2 linked regions of the Oreochromis niloticus genome follow. The protein of the gene in region 1 interacts with the protein of each later gene in a pairwise test. Links are inferred from orthologs where the notes say so. Each region holds a gene or a part of one and is shown in the gene's direction. Other genes may lie near its edges.

The links.
Region 2: the proteins of atf4a (region 1) and snap29 interact in a two-hybrid assay, tested with the Homo sapiens proteins (2 studies listed by BioGRID and IntAct). The link is inferred for Oreochromis niloticus from reciprocal best matches to the Homo sapiens genes ATF4 and SNAP29.

Annotation. Positions count from the first base shown.
Region 1 is NC_031971.2:9,245,085-9,252,559, forward strand, and holds the start of atf4a (cyclic AMP-dependent transcription factor ATF-4), read left to right. Parts: upstream 1-4,374; 5' UTR 4,375-4,556; intron 4,557-5,521; 5' UTR 5,522-5,634; coding exon 5,635-5,683; intron 5,684-5,939; coding exon 5,940-6,254; intron 6,255-7,239; coding exon 7,240-7,475. Other genes in the region: uncharacterized protein LOC106097202, read left to right, coding at 933-1,003, 1,095-1,230, 1,551-1,973. UniProt on the Homo sapiens protein: Transcription factor that binds the cAMP response element (CRE) (consensus: 5'-GTGACGT[AC][AG]-3') and displays two biological functions, as regulator of metabolic and redox processes under normal cellular conditions, and as master transcription factor during integrated stress response (ISR).
Region 2 is NC_031977.2:26,077,565-26,085,545, reverse strand, and holds the start of snap29 (synaptosomal-associated protein 29), read left to right. Parts: upstream 1-4,971; 5' UTR 4,972-5,110; intron 5,111-5,191; exon of another isoform or gene 5,192-5,353; intron 5,354-6,679; coding exon 6,680-6,916; intron 6,917-7,055; coding exon 7,056-7,249; intron 7,250-7,579; coding exon 7,580-7,665; intron 7,666-7,749; coding exon 7,750-7,854; intron 7,855-7,948; coding exon 7,949-7,981. Other genes in the region: pi4kab (phosphatidylinositol 4-kinase, catalytic, alpha b), read right to left, coding at 36-101, 220-368, 1,117-1,183, 1,346-1,608, 1,694-1,766, 1,868-1,956, 2,265-2,358, 2,936-3,052 and 1 more. UniProt on the Homo sapiens protein: SNAREs, soluble N-ethylmaleimide-sensitive factor-attachment protein receptors, are essential proteins for fusion of cellular membranes.

The DNA of each region.
Region 1 (7,475 bases):
TTGATTAACAGTTTGGTTGTCTTGAATTTCAGCTCTGCAAGCTGACTCTGACTTGAAATATAATGTGTTGAGATTTGTAGTTCCTTAGAAATCTTGAGGCAAATTTCGCTGTAAAAATATATAGATCACTAGATTTGACTCAATGTTGTATCATGAACATGCACTCATGGTCTCTAAAAGTATACGTTCAGGGAGGGGGCCATTGAAATTGTAGACCACAGTTCTACTCTGATAAACTTCTTCTGTGTTACATAACTATCTTCAATGACCACCTTCAATTATACTCCCTCTTTTCTCCAGCCAAAGGTTCCAACTCCCTTACCACATCCGACTCCCCTGCCAAGAAAACACATTTCCCTTCCAATCAGTCCTAAGACTGATGAGCCAGGAAAATGTGCTCCCCTGTCTCCCACGAAATCTGGAGAGGTTTGGGTTAAGTTGCCTACACGCTCAGAAATTTAAGCAGTGGCTATATATAAACATATATGGTTGCATTCTAATCATTTTTAATTATTTGGTGGATTGTTTTGTTTTTTTTTGTTTGTTTGTTTCTATTTTAAACTCAGGACATCTGCTCGAGTCCACCACCAGTCCCACCAAAGAAGTGGACTGTTAGAAAGAGTTCAACAGGAAATGAAGTTTTTGTGGAAAAAATGAAGGTACCACTGGTCTATATCTAGTGTGTTTTTTTTTTCTTTCAGCATCTACTCACACAATGAATGCTTTTAATGTGTCACAGAAATGTAGTTTATCTGAAAGCAGTTGAAGTGCATTCATAGAATCTGAAACTGGTGTCTCTGATCAAACTCTCTGTCATGTGAGATAACACATAAAATATGTGCACTGTTCAAACAGGATTAACGTGTTTAAGGTTCATCTAACAAACGTGGATTGTTTCTCTTTTTCTAAGATGCTGGATCAGTGTTTTAAGGATGAAGGTGAACGCCCTCCACTGCCTCCTAAACCCCATCAAATGCAGCTTGATGATGAAAATGAATCCCTGGTAATTACTTAAAATAAATACAGCATTAAATTGATATTAGGTGATTGTTTTGTCATGTTTTAGACACTTTAAATCATTTCTCTTTAATTAGGATGCTGAGAGTCTGTCAAACTCCTACGAAAAGTCAATACGTGAGTAAAAAGATCCAGCTGGCACTAACTGCTGTCGGGGTCGGCGTGGCTGCAGCCGGCGGTGTTACTGGTGCATCAGCAGCCATCGCAAATAAGGTGATGGTCTTTAAGGCACCGCCTTAAAACATCTTTGTTCATGGTTTTTGTAGGTTGATAGGTTTTCCTAACTTTTTAAGAGAAAATACATTTTTAAATCTATTCTGGTTCACTTTTGTTTTTGTTCTTTTGTTAATTTGGAGTTCCAGGACTTCAATCTAAAATGCTGAATGTCTTCTTTTACAGTAATAACTCTCCTGAGATCAAAAGCCCTGTTTTTATGTTATCACAATTTTTAAAAAAGGGTACTAACTGGAAACTACCCACTCTAGTTATCTGAATTTCTAGTATTGAACTGATTGTGAAGCATGTTTTTCCAGGTGAACTGCAACCAGGACCAGAAGAAAATTGAAAAGATCTTTACTGACTACGAGTCACTCAGTAAGGGCATTCAGGAGAAACTGGTTTATGTCCATGAGGGCATAGAGCAGCTGAGGCAGTATGGTGTCATCATGCTTGAGAGGACCAAGGTGAAGTCAGAGAGGGCCTCCAAGGTGCTGGAGTTCTTTGGTCAAGGAGGGCCATGTGCCAAGGTCTTGGAGGCAAACTCCAAGCCATCTGGGATGATAGAAGGCTTTGCCCTCGGCATGGATATGTACTTCATCAAAGGAAAAGATGGAACCAAGGTGAAGAAGGGCTTTGAGTCAAAGTTGGCAAAGAAACTCCGCTCCTTGGCGGTGGATCTCCAGGAACGACTGGATGAGTTCATCGAAATGAAAGAACTGTTTGAGAAGTATTGTTAGGAGGGTATTTTTCTCCACCTGAATATCTTTTGTTTGGGGGTTGTCTTTTAATGTTAATTTTCAGTTTTACGAAAGTTTATTGATCAACATATATTTCCTCTTTGGCAACAGGTTCGAAAACAGAACAAAACTTTTAGTGCAACTTTAGGAATTGTAACTTCAAGCAGTTTCTTTTAAATGGTTTATGGTTATTAATGCTGTATAAAACTGAGATTGTGTTAACCTCCCTTAATTTAGCTGTTTTCACCTATTAAGATGAGTTAACACCTTAAGATAAGGTGTTATGCAAACGCATTGTTAACCCTAGAACACTATCGCTGGGTGATTTACACCCGAGCAAATACATTTACATGATTTCTCTCTCCTGCAGCTGTTTGTGTGTCGAGGAGCCTGTGCCTTCACCAGGGAAGTCTCAAATTTCCCAGGAATGGGTGGACCAAAGACCAGCTTTCCAGAGTCATTATTTTGTTTTAGGAGGGTTGTTTTTTTTTTTCATTTTGTTAGACATGGCACAGTTGAAAGTAAAAGAAGACCACTCTAATTTGTCATGTGTTGTCATATTTTGATATATTTGATTACTTTTTATTGGTTATATTATATCGGGTAAAAATCACCCGGCATTAGTGATTGTGTTACTATTTATAGCGATAGTGTTCTAGGGTTAAACGCAATCGAATGACATGTTTTTTAAAAAGACTACTAAATAAACCGATTAAAGATCGACAAAATCCACCAGGGGGCAGTGTAGTCCTTCTTTTAAAAAGTTTCAGCTGATGCTGAGTACACATTTTTAAAATACATAGACTTTTATCATTCCTAGCTTGACTTTATATGTGGTATAGTTATACATGTCGCATTTAAAAACAATTTACACAAAAATGTGAGTGGTTGTTAACTGGAAGCTTAAAATGAAACATTTTAAATGTTACTTCTCCATAAAGTTACTCAGGCACCAGACCTGACTGTGTGTCATACAAACCATATGATAATTTACAGAAATGCAGTCAAACCCTTTCTCAGTGTATAATCAAATATTTCTGCCTATCATTCTATCATTCAATTTTTGACTGATTAACCTAGTTATGCTATAAACTTTTTTACATTTCCACTCTATCATTATCATTTTCTTTGAGTTGTGAAAAATTTGTCACTTGAAAAAAAAAGAGTTTGGGTCCAAATTAATTTCACCTTCAGAACCAATAGTGTCTTATTGAATCCCTTGCAACAGCATAGTTAAGGCTCCCTCATAACATGAATAGTTAAAAATAGCCATGATCAGAAATGGTCTCTTTTACTTCCTGATACCAGTCTCACATCCTTCACCTATCGTGGGGGTAAAATCTCAGTGACATAAAAACGACAACAAAAACTTGGAAAGAGAAACTGTTTTTGGAGAACCACAAACCAGACCCAGGTGTACTTTCAGATCCGCTGTCCTGCAGCTTATATCGGGATCTTTCACCCCTATTTCAACTATGGATGGAGGTTGTTTTATCTATGTTTGCCTTATTATCATTCCTTGTTTATTACACCATGGCTGGCTCTAACAAGTGTATCTAGAAACAAAACTGAAGATTTTATTCAGACACCAATTTTGGGTTTTAGGGGGCTGCTCTAATATTTGGCTTCAACACCATCTTTGGTTTGAAAAAAGAAACAGTGCATTTGAGCTACAATCAGCATTTTATTTACCTCACTGACTACTTTGACAGTCATCTAAAATGATATTTTCCCTTTACAAAATTATTCCAGCCACATTAAACCATCATGTAGGGTGGAAACAAAATAATTATGATGAAATGTATGAAGTGGGCCTCGCTCTGTAGTCTGCACAGTCTTGTTCAGTCCAAATAATAGTCACCAGGCTTGTTCGACCAGAGAAAGACTGCTTAAAATGACAAGGGTGTGACCCTACATTTGTTAGACATGAGCAGTGAATCATGTCCGTCTGTATGTGAATAAAATATAAAATGGGGCACGCTGTGATCTAAATTAACCGTCGACCTGTTAAAACAATAGACACCTGCGCTCCAGTACAATGAATATTATGGCAAAAATGCGATTTGAAAGGTTTTGTTACAAACAATAAAACAGCTCCAGGCCCATAAAATACTGCCTCGTCTCAATGTTTACATTCTGGATTTGACCTATATTTTACGTCACAGCATCCATGTGGATCTACTTTGATGCGATTCATCCAACCAGTTACAAACATCAGTCGGGCGGAGGGATCCCACTCGCAAAAAATGTTCGTTTGTTTAAGTTAACCAGCATGGTCGAGTGGCCACGCTTTTGTTGACTGTTGTGAAGACCTCCCACTCGCGCTGCTGGTTTCACAGTGAACAAACGCCCTCGCGCTGGGTGCGGAGCGATATACGCAGCAGTACTTCGGCCATATATAACCCCCCACGCGACGGCTCGACCTGTTCTTCGTTCGTACAGCTCCTGAAGTAAACACACATTACGCGTAGAAGCTGTAGCGGGCCAAAATGGCAGTGTAGAGGCGTGCGGCAGCTAACCTTGCAGCGGCAACAAACCGGCAGTGCAACGGCTACGTGCACTGGCTTTTTCTGGCAAAATGGCGTAAGTAATTTTTTATCGACATTTTTGCAGTCTTCTAAAGAGAAAAAAATTATAGCCACTTCTTGTAGTAACTAATCTGTCAACTAGAATGTGTCACTGGCTATTAAACTTGTTGATCAAGGCTATTTGTTTTTGTGAAAAAAACTTGCTAAGTGTGTTTTGAGTCATAGTTCCTTGTTTAGAGCTAGGGTGTCAAATTACAGTATACCAGCTGAAGTAGTCCGAGCCGGCGCCTTACTTTGTGTTGTGAATCATGCTAACGAGCCGTCGATTGGGCACTGAAAACATTTTAGACTTCTCATTTTAATTTTTAATTTTCTTCAGTGGCTGCGACACGGTTGTCAGTGTGGTACTAAAAACATTTTTAGTGTTTTGTATACGTTTCACATTGGCAACGTGGCGTCCAAAATGGCGCGCGCTGTGGGTTTTTAGCTCGTTCCCCGCCTCGCGCAGATGGCTCTGTTGTGAAAATGGCGGTTTGCCCTCCCACATCTCCGCCATGACTCATAGGCGTGGGTGGAGTTACCAGCTAAAGCATGACCAAATTAGGCAAAGTTATCCCCCCCGGTGGAGGGCGGAGTTTCCCATCAATACAGCTTTGACGCTCAAGGGGAACGGATTAGCCAAAATTAGACACCCCCCTCCCCCATGACAGGGATGTCAACTCCTTTTAATGACCCTAGTACATACTACCAGAGAAGCCTACATTGTCTGCACAAGGGTTGTCAGTCAAAAATGTGCTTGTTTCAGGAAGTACACCTGCACTGGGGAAACTTTGCATTTACAAATAAACTTGGCCCTGCCAGACATCAGATTTTCATAAAGTTTGAATATATCATTTCACAACTTCTGACAATAAAATGTGTCACTTCATTTTAGTTTCCATATGAATCAACACTAACATTTGCTTATATTCCTCATTTTTCTCTCATTAACATGATTTCTGTTTTCTTCCCTCCAACCAGGTCTCTCCCGGCAACCACCCTCAGCTTTGCTGCCGTCGACAGCATACGTGGACCTCTCGACTCACCATTGTTCTTGTACACCTTTTCACGGCTACCACTGACCAGCAGCAGCCATGACTCTCTCCCAGCTAGCCCTGGAGGACGTGGAGGCCCTGTACTTAGGTGTGTGTTGTGATGACACACATTGCCAAAGCACTAGTACAAACATTGCTGAATGTGGCGCTTTGTTTGCATAACATTTGGTAATGGTAATACCATTCCCAACAATACTAAAGCCAATGAAGTACAGTTTCATATGGTCAGCATGGCATTATCTGTAGATGGGTTAGATGTTTTAGTGAGTTATTGGATGAATGACAGATTTGTATGTATTGGATGCCCCAAATTAGAAGTTGACGGGCTGATCTTTTGTTCTCAGGGCCCTCCTTTCTGATGGCTGACCCCATGGGGCCCCTTCTGGACCAAGATGAAGAAGAAGCTCTTTCTCCCTCCTCCCTAGAGGGGAAGGCGCCAGCTTCGCCCTCCCTTTCTTTGTCCACTTATCCATCCTCCTCGTCCCCTTATCAGACCATGTCTTTCTCCCCGCTGTCTTTGGCCTCCCCATCTCCCTCTCCTCCTCCCACTCATTGTTCCTCGTTCCTGGGAACCAAGGCCGGAGCGGACTCGCTGTCCCTCTCCTGGCTGGGTGCCGGCGACCTGCTCGACGCCCATGTTGGAGCAGATGATGGCAAAGGTGAGTGCCTTAAAATACATGTTTAATGAGCAGGGGGCAAGTCCTAAATTTTAACAATTATTTTTCAAAAGCAAATAATTTGACAAGTTGTTGAACTGAATAGAAACCAAATAAAAGAAATGATGGAAGGTTACTAATTGGAGTATGTTTAGGACCAAACTACATCTTCCGCTCTCATTAGACTATAAAGTTGGGAGCATTTGTTGTGCTGTGAATATTTCAGAGGAGAGGCCCACTGTCAGTTAAGTATTTGAGGTTTGCCTGCAGGCTGAGGGCTGACGTTAAGGCCGTGGGTGAGCAACCTGGATGTTTGTAGGGCAACAAACTTTTATTGGTTTGAGTGGCGGGTGTGGCTCAGAGTTGTGCCGCAAAGACCGGCTCAAACTGGTTTTGTTAGACGTCATTGTGCAATAACACATTTATCCCTTTGTGCTTCCTGGCATCAGTTGAAGTTCCTTGTTTTGTGGATTTAGTCTCACTTGAGTATTTGTAAACGTCAGACACATAATCGAGGGAGAGATCAAATATGTGCCTGAGGTCATGTGTTGAATAGGGTTGGGTTATAAAGTCTCAAAACATCATCGCAATAGTTCAAGGAAATTTGTGATGTTTCTGACAATATAAAAAAAAATAAACACTTGATGTTTTGTTGATGCTTGCAGCCAGCAGCTATCGTAATATTTTTGGATATTGTATCTTGGGTCAAGATTTTAAATAGCAGCTTCCACCGTGTAACCACATCAGTAATTTACATCCGTGCATTGCTTTTTCTGTGATATGTAGTAACATGAATATAACCCACAGTGTTGATATTGTCATACGGCTTTTTAAATATGCTGTAAAAATTGATGCAGTACAATTCACAACCCTGGTATTTAACAAATAATTAGCTGTATGGAGTATTGCATAGAAATGATTCACTGTAAGAATAATCATCCAAATTTCTTAATGTTTATTGCGAGTATTAATGAATAATATCTGTCAGCAGATGATGCTTTTGCCGGCATGGACTGGATGTCAGAGAAAATCGACCTGAGTGAATTTGACCTGGAGTCTTTCATTGGATCCTGCTCCTCTGATGAGTCTCCCAGCTCCCCTGAAGATCTCCTGGCTTCCCTGGACTCCTCCATGGATTTAGATCTAGATGCCTTTAACACAACCATCCCCGTCCCACACAGCAGCCTTGAGCTGAGTTTGCCTGTGCCCGACATTCCCAGTCCC
Region 2 (7,981 bases), on another chromosome or scaffold:
TTATAATTTTGCACAGACAGCGGTCATATGCTTACCTCTATGACTTCTGTCACAGTGGCATCCAGAGTTTTCAAAAATGACTCGGACACAAACTTCTTCACCTGCAAGCCAACATTGCACACAACTACTGTAAAGGCTCAAGATACATAAACTGGATGAGAAGCAACGGTAAAAGATTTAAAGAGCTGTAAACGGTGTATGGGTAGTAGGCTACTGCACCATGGCAAGGAGCTGTCGGAGCAGATCCGCAGGCACCTCCACCTCATTTTCTCCTTCCCCCAGGAAGAGTGGAGATACCGAGAAACTGGAGCTGACTGTAGAGAAATAGTAGTCAGGGTCGACTGTGTTGCTGTCTGGAAAATAGGCACCTGAAATCAGTGGGAGCAGAAGAATTATTAACAAAAACAAGTAGGATGAAATATGACCATTAGATCTCAGCGGGTACTATTTCAATAATATAGAAATAGTTCATTTTGTAAAATAGGGGTTTTTTTGTTACACATAATTCTACTGAATTTACATTCCATAGCAACAATTAAACCTTTCTGTGTAACAGATTAGGGCTTGTAATACAGCAGATTATAAGTGCAGAATTACTGAGATAAAACACTTTTTGAGTCTGTCCCAGACAATAAAAAAAAAACAAAAAAAAAACACATTCTCTAAAGGAGTTTGGAATGCTAGCATAGTTAACAGGAAATCTGTGGAAATACAGCAAATGTCACAAAACTCTAAATCTGACCACAAACAACAGCATGAATTGGTATTTCCAATTTTATAGGGTAATAGGGGATTGGAAATACCACTTCGGGCATAAAGCAATTAAAGGCCTTAGTATCAATCTGGCATAACGTAGCAGCTATAAAACTCAGCATGAACCCAAACAAAAAAGTCTAACCACAGTTACAACGTTTTTACTGTCAGGCTTATTACAATGTTACAGTATGGGGGATATTGCAGTTCACCCTAACAAACCTAAAACAAAGTGCCCAGTTGTTACATAATGCTGACAGACAGCTGATAATAACAAGCTGAGCTGAATTACCAGACTATAGAGTCAAACTAAAAACTAAGACACAATTATTTTTAAAGTAACTTCTGTTTCTTCAGTTTTACCTTCCAAGTAATGTGGACTAGGAGTTGTAGGAGAGCAGGGTGAGTGGCCTCCTGGATCTGTACTGATCTGTTTGAAAGCACATTACACAACTTTAATGGGTAACGAAACATACCAACATCATTGAATAATATAAATTAACAAAGCAAATAAAACTATTATTGCTCTGGATTCTCCCCTAATTATCCTGAACAAGCAAAACACGTCTTGAATCCGGCAACATGTACCGACCTGTGCAGATGAATCTAGGTTGGTCCCGGTGCGTCTGCGCAGAGTATCACTCTGGCACACTGTAAGCAGTGAGGACGGTAGAATAGAACGAAAGTCATTGAAGGATCTGCGCCGTACACCCTCTGTTTCCTCTGTAACGCATCGTGCCTGAGGAGAATCTTTGGGGAACAACTTGGATAACAGAGCTTCATCTGTGTGGCTGTAGCGGCCAAATGCCCGAGTCATGCCAAGCAGGCTGGGAACAATATACTTGCACAGGAAGACTGCAGACAAAAAAGAGCAGCGTTAAGGTTCTTTTTTTTGTTTTAAAAGCAAAAGTCAGAATGTTTGTTGCATTTCTATCTATACCTTTGTCATGATTATCCGGTGTTTGGCACATATCCTGTAACGCCTGCATGACCTCCATTATAGTGTTTAAGATCTATAGGGAAAACAGTGCAAAAACAGTGAGTTAGCACTTCAATGCAATGCACCCCAACCCTGAGAATAATATAACGATTTATCACCACTTTTTAAACAGACCTCTTGTCTTGAGTCTGGATCCCTCTGAGCCACATCTGACAGAAGAGTCACTAGACAGAAGCTGAAGTTTTCTGCTACAGGGAGAAATTCTGAGGAGCAGAAAGTTACACAGATACAGTTGAATTGAATGCCTCATAAGGTTGAACAAAAGAAAAGAAATAATGATAAGCAGATTTGCCAAAAATGTAAACATCAGATACAGAGCAACACAGCATTAAGTGGAACAGAAGCAGCAGTTCACAATATGCAATTCAAGTATAAATTAACCCATCTGTCCAGTGTAATACATCTCAATACAGTACAATTAATTAATAAGAATTGCTAGAAATTCTACTGCCACAAGTAAAAGGAGTCTATTGTAAAACTAAAAGCCTCACTATAAGAGGATTCTTCTTACCCTTTCCTTTCTTTCCTGAGCTTTCTTCGATCCATTGGACCCGTGGCAGCCCTCTCAGTAGGCTCAGCAAGTAAGAAACAAGTATGTCTTTGTGCTGCAGGAGTAAAACAAATCATTACACACCACAAACAAGTGGACTCGGCAGCATAAAATCAGCACTTTTGCATGCCTGACAAGCACTGACGGATCAAAACAACGAGGTTATCTCACACAAGCAAATCTGGGTCAAAGAAAGTGTATCACAGCTTTAAAAATAAAAGTAAGGCATCCAGCACTATGCTGTCAGACAGAAAGGAAGCTTTCCCAACTGTGTCTAAGTGTGATGAGGTTAGCGGCTTACACGGCTAACTGCATGTCTAATCGCCAGCTTAATCAGATTATGAGAATAAGCTTATCACAGGGATACATGTAGAGTCCGAGGAGAGCGCAGGAGCAAACGTGGACTAATAGTTCTAATACAATATTACAATTACTATACCTGTGAAACAGAGTTTGATAAGCAGTTAGGAAAATAGAAAATTGGTATTGTGTCAATATGCAATGCCAATACTTCACTATCTAATGACCTAAACTATGAAATCTTAAATCTACTGTATTACCATAACAGCTTGAAGTAAAATGAAAATACTGTATTCAAAACACTCCTCAGCCTTTTACTGACAACCACCCACCTGTAAGCCAGATTCCACCAAAAACACAGCCAGTGCAATAACAGCATCTCTGCGACGCACATCCAGAGTGAACACACCACGGACTTCCACTGGACACATACATTGCAGCTTCTGGACCTAAAAGGCCAAAAAAGAATATTAAAGTAACAGTCCAGGCTGGTAATATTCACACATTAAGCTGATTTATCTCACTTGACAGCCCAGTGTGTTTGTGTCACACAGCATATGAAAACATAACACTACAGCATTAGACAATATGTCAAGTGTTAAAAACTGTTTGTATAGAAGCTTGTTTCTGCTACTGAAAAACAAGCATGTGTTACCATCCATAAGTCAAAATTTGGGGGTTATTTTCTCAAGTATTACCCTTAATAACTTGAAATTTCAAGTCATTTTCTAATAAGTATGAGTTACTAAGTAAAAGTTTTGAGATAATTACCAAAAGTTTTGAATTACAGATAGCAAAATACTTTTTTTCAGTTGTGGAAGCAAACTTCCAGATGTTTCAGAGTGAGTGTATGTTCAAATGAAAGTAATATTTGTTAAGACTTGCACTGTTCAATTAAATTCAACAACACTAATAGAGAGAAATCCCCAACAATCAGACAACCCTCCCTTATGAGCAAGCACTTGGCGAAAGCAGCTAGGAAAAACTCCCTTTTAACAAAAATAAACCTCAAGGAAAACCAGACTCTGGGAAGGGCAGCCATCTGCCAAGACAGCTTGGGGGTGGGGGGTGGGAAACAGGACATAAGACACTGTGGAAGAGAGCCAGGGCTTAATAATAACTAAGGGTTAAAAGTAAAGTGAGATATAAACACAGGGACAGTGAAAAGAAAAAGAAGAAGAAACATGGTGCATCATGAGAAGCCTCCAGCACCTTGCCCTATTACAGCTTAACTAAGGGATGGCTCAGGGTCACCTGATCATCTACCCGATGACATCTGGAATCTGTACACTTTTATGCACACTGTGTAACCCAGCAAGCCAGAGATATTAAGATACATGCATTTATGATATCAGATAAACTGCTAGGCAGTTTCCTCCCTACAGCTCAAACACACAGTAGAACTGGGAATTACATAACATAACCCATAATAGCCCTTAAAGTTACAACACTTGGTGACAGCTTATTGATAATGGCTTCATATGTTCCCCTCTAATACCCTTTACTTTCATTTACAAAATGTACCCATTGTGTTTTGTTTTGTTTTTTTAAAAACCTTTCCTATATTGGCAAGACCCAACTATCAATCTGCAACAGGTTTCCAACTATATAACACATGTAGGCGGATTTTGATAGCAGTAAAGACAAACAGAGCAGCCTGTGAATGAACTCCTGTCTCAAACATTTCTCTGTAAACCTGTTTGACTGCAGTGCCGATCAAGCTTGACCGCTCTGTCCGTCCGATGCAGTAACAGGCACCACACAGCAACGCCACTTTCCTCTGCACTGCCCACTTTTCTGCTTCAGGGTTTTGGACACCACGGCTCGCGTTTTAGAGATTTCTAACCACGGAGTCGCGCACACAAACATACAAACATAACTGTTAAATGTTAGCTTGGTTGTCATGTCGTTGATCAAAATAAGCCACCGCCTGTGCGGAAGCGCAGCTACACCCTGAACAACCCTGCCACTGCTTCTAATTACTAACATGGTTAATTATTGCGTGTTTTTGGAGCTCAAGCTTGTTTTCTCACCTTTTCGACCGGTGCGGGGCGGTGTGCGGCCAATGAGCGGGCCAGCGACAGGACTGTATTAAAATAAAACCCCCTCGTACCACCTCCCATTACGGACATGTTTACCCCTACATTAAACCAGCGCAATTCATCGCTGAGAGGAAACAAGCGAGCGGGGCTGCCTGGGAAAGCCGCAGTACGGCAACTCAGCAGGGACATTTCTAACAGGGGCTCTTCGTTACCGTAGCAACTCACTCACAAAGGGCTTGAAATAGATCAAATTAAGCAAATGTATGGATTGTATTTATATTATTTACATTACAACCTGCGTGGGTTTTTATCAGTAAGTAACCCCAATATCGCCGTGGTGTGCGTTTCCTTTACGCAAGATCAGCTGTCGCGACAGTGTGTGTGCAACGTCATCAAACGCGATAGGAAGAGTTCAGTCAGCTGATAGAGCAACAACAGCGTCTGCCACGGCTCCTGTGGTCAAAGGTTCGTCTGTTAAGTTAATCGTTCTTTTTTGTGTCTTTTTTTTTTTTTTTTTACACTTTCGTTTTAGACAGCATTTGTTCAATAAGAGAAAATTGCCTGTGGTGACGCTTGCGGATGTGGTCGTTTTAGTTGACTGGCAGTTAAGCTAACAGTTGACTAGCAAACCAACACCCCGGCGATACATCAAACATTTCTTGACTTGCAATACTGTTTTATTTTTCTCCTCTTAATATAACACAGCAGGTATTGTTGCAGATGATTAATGTGAAATATGTTGACAAGCCTAACTGTTGCTCGAATTACTTGTTGGACAACGTTGAAGTTAGCCGAAGCTAACACGCTGGAGCTTTCGTAATCGCACGAGTTCAGACAAGTTTCGAAATGAACAATTAACCTTCTTTTATCAACAAAAACTTATTGTTGTAATGAAACTAATTATTATCTAAATAGCAGATGTATTATGTTACGCATCGTTTAATTACCGGTATTCAGCTATCCGATCCCAAAATATAGTACATAACTTTTCTTCCCGACGAGGTGCGATCTATCCATCGATCTATCCATTTTCCTCCGCTTATTCAGTTCATGGAATTCAACATGTTGTGCCAAAGAGTGGACTTAAAACTACTTGGTAATCAAAATATTACCAAAACAATTAGCTTCGAAAGCTGGCTTAAAAAGCAGGAGCAGTGTCCTGTGTGTTAGCTCTGCATTTCTCCCTATGACTCGTGAGATGGGTTCCAGTCTAACGCATGACCCTGAATTGGATAACCAGAAGAAAATGGATGGAATGGCTAGATATGTGTGCAGATGCCTGTGCTTAACTGAGCCTGGTTCTGCCGGAGGTCTCTTCCAGTAAAAGTTGAGGGCAGGGGAGAGGAGGGGATCCCCTCTGCTTACACGGAGGGGATCCCCTCTGCTTACACAGAGGGGATAATTTGGGTTATCTCTCTGCTATTATAGGCTTTACCTTTCAATGTAAAGCACCTTGAGACAACTGTTGCTTTTGCGAAATTAGTTGAAGTCACAATAAACAACACTCAGACTGTTTGAAGGATTTAATCAGTGAATAAGTGAATTTAAAAGATTATCAAGTCTTGGGAGACAACGTTTAAGAGGCGTGGTTGAGATGGTTTGGATATGTGCAGAGGAGGGATATTAGATCCATTGGACAAAGCATGTTAAAGATGAAGCTGACAGGCAAGAGGAAAAACAAGAAGACCACAGAGAAGATTCATGGATATAGCGAAGGAGGACATGCAGAGGGTTTATGTGGCAGAAGAGGATGCCAGGGAGAGGGTCAGATTGTGGCAGATAATCTGTTTAGGGAACCCATAAAGGGAGCAGCTGAAAAAAGCCAAAGATCATCAAGACTGGAACCAAATATCTAATCTTTTATTAACCTGTTTATAGTTTTATTGTGTTCCAAGAAGTTGTTTTAGTTTTAAGCAATCTAAAATCCATTATTTACAGGTAACAAAAACATGTAACTTGATGATCATGTGATACAGTTGAAAGGCTTATAGTCCTTTAGCTAAAATTACCAAAACATTCGTTTTTGCTCCACAGATGGCCTACCCTAAATCCCACAACCCGTTTGCAGATGATGACGAGGAGGAGGATTTCAAGCCTAAAAGTAGGGGGTTTGACGACGAGCCAAGTGACAGCGGGTTGAGTGAAGCAGAGAGGAGGCAGAGATGTCTCCAGCAGGAAGTGATGCGTACAGCGCAGTCTGCTGTGGATAGCAGTTACCGCTCACTTTCCCTCATCTATGAATCAGAGAAGATGGGTGTGGAAACTGCAGAGGTATCTTAAATGAATAAGGTTCACACTACTGTACAAAGAATTGACACTGTCTTTGAAAAGGCGACAATCAACAAAGAGTTATTTTTAAAGGCCCCGTCTTCCCATACCTCATCCTGAATTAGTCCCTTCTTGTCTACAGGAGCTGATGCGACAGGGTGAGGCTATAAAGAGGACAGACAAGATGCTGGATAACATGGATCAAGACCTGAAGACCAGTCAAAGGCACATTAACAGTATTAAGAGTGTGTGGGGCGGCCTTGTCAATTATTTTAAGGGAACGCCAGAGACAAAGCCACCACCTGAGCAGCCAAAGGGCTACAAGGCCAGTGAAAGGTAAGTTTGTTTTTATTCTCTGTGTCAGTGAGGTGTGGTAGCATCATCCAGTTTTAATTTCTGCATGTTTTAACTCCTTAACAAATCAAAGAGTTCTGTGATATAGAGGAGTTTCAATATATTAAAGTTTGATATGCTGTTATGTGTAGGGGCAAGTTATCATATTTTACAACAAAGCATTAAAACAGTTACTCTGAATTTGTGTTAAAGTAATGTTAACTTCTTTTAGAAGTTCAGGTAATTCATTTTTGTTTTTTACTTTCATGCGTACAACTTGTTATTGACCGTCTCTCCCTAAATGTTTGAACAATTCTTATCTGACTTTCTCAGATTACAGACTGCCTTGGCCAGCAGCAGAGAAAATGAAGATAAGTACCAAGCTAGCCACCCCAACCTAAGAAAACTGGATACGGGAGGTAAGTGTTGGAACAAGAACCTCAACATTACGCTATCTTCCCACCACTTACTGGCTCTCACTATTTCTTATTTCATTGTTTTAGGATTTGGAGCTACTGCATCAATAGATGATGGCTCATCTCAACAGAATGGATACCCTAAGAACATATACCTGAAGGAGGCTCACCAGACTCTTGACAAAAATTTAGGTAGGGAAATGCTGCACTTATTTAGTTACATAACATGTTTTTATATAAAGTTTGTCTGCTGTAATTGAACTGATGTCTTTTGTGAATGTCTTAGATGAGATGTGTGTAGGCTTGGGTAGACTGAAGA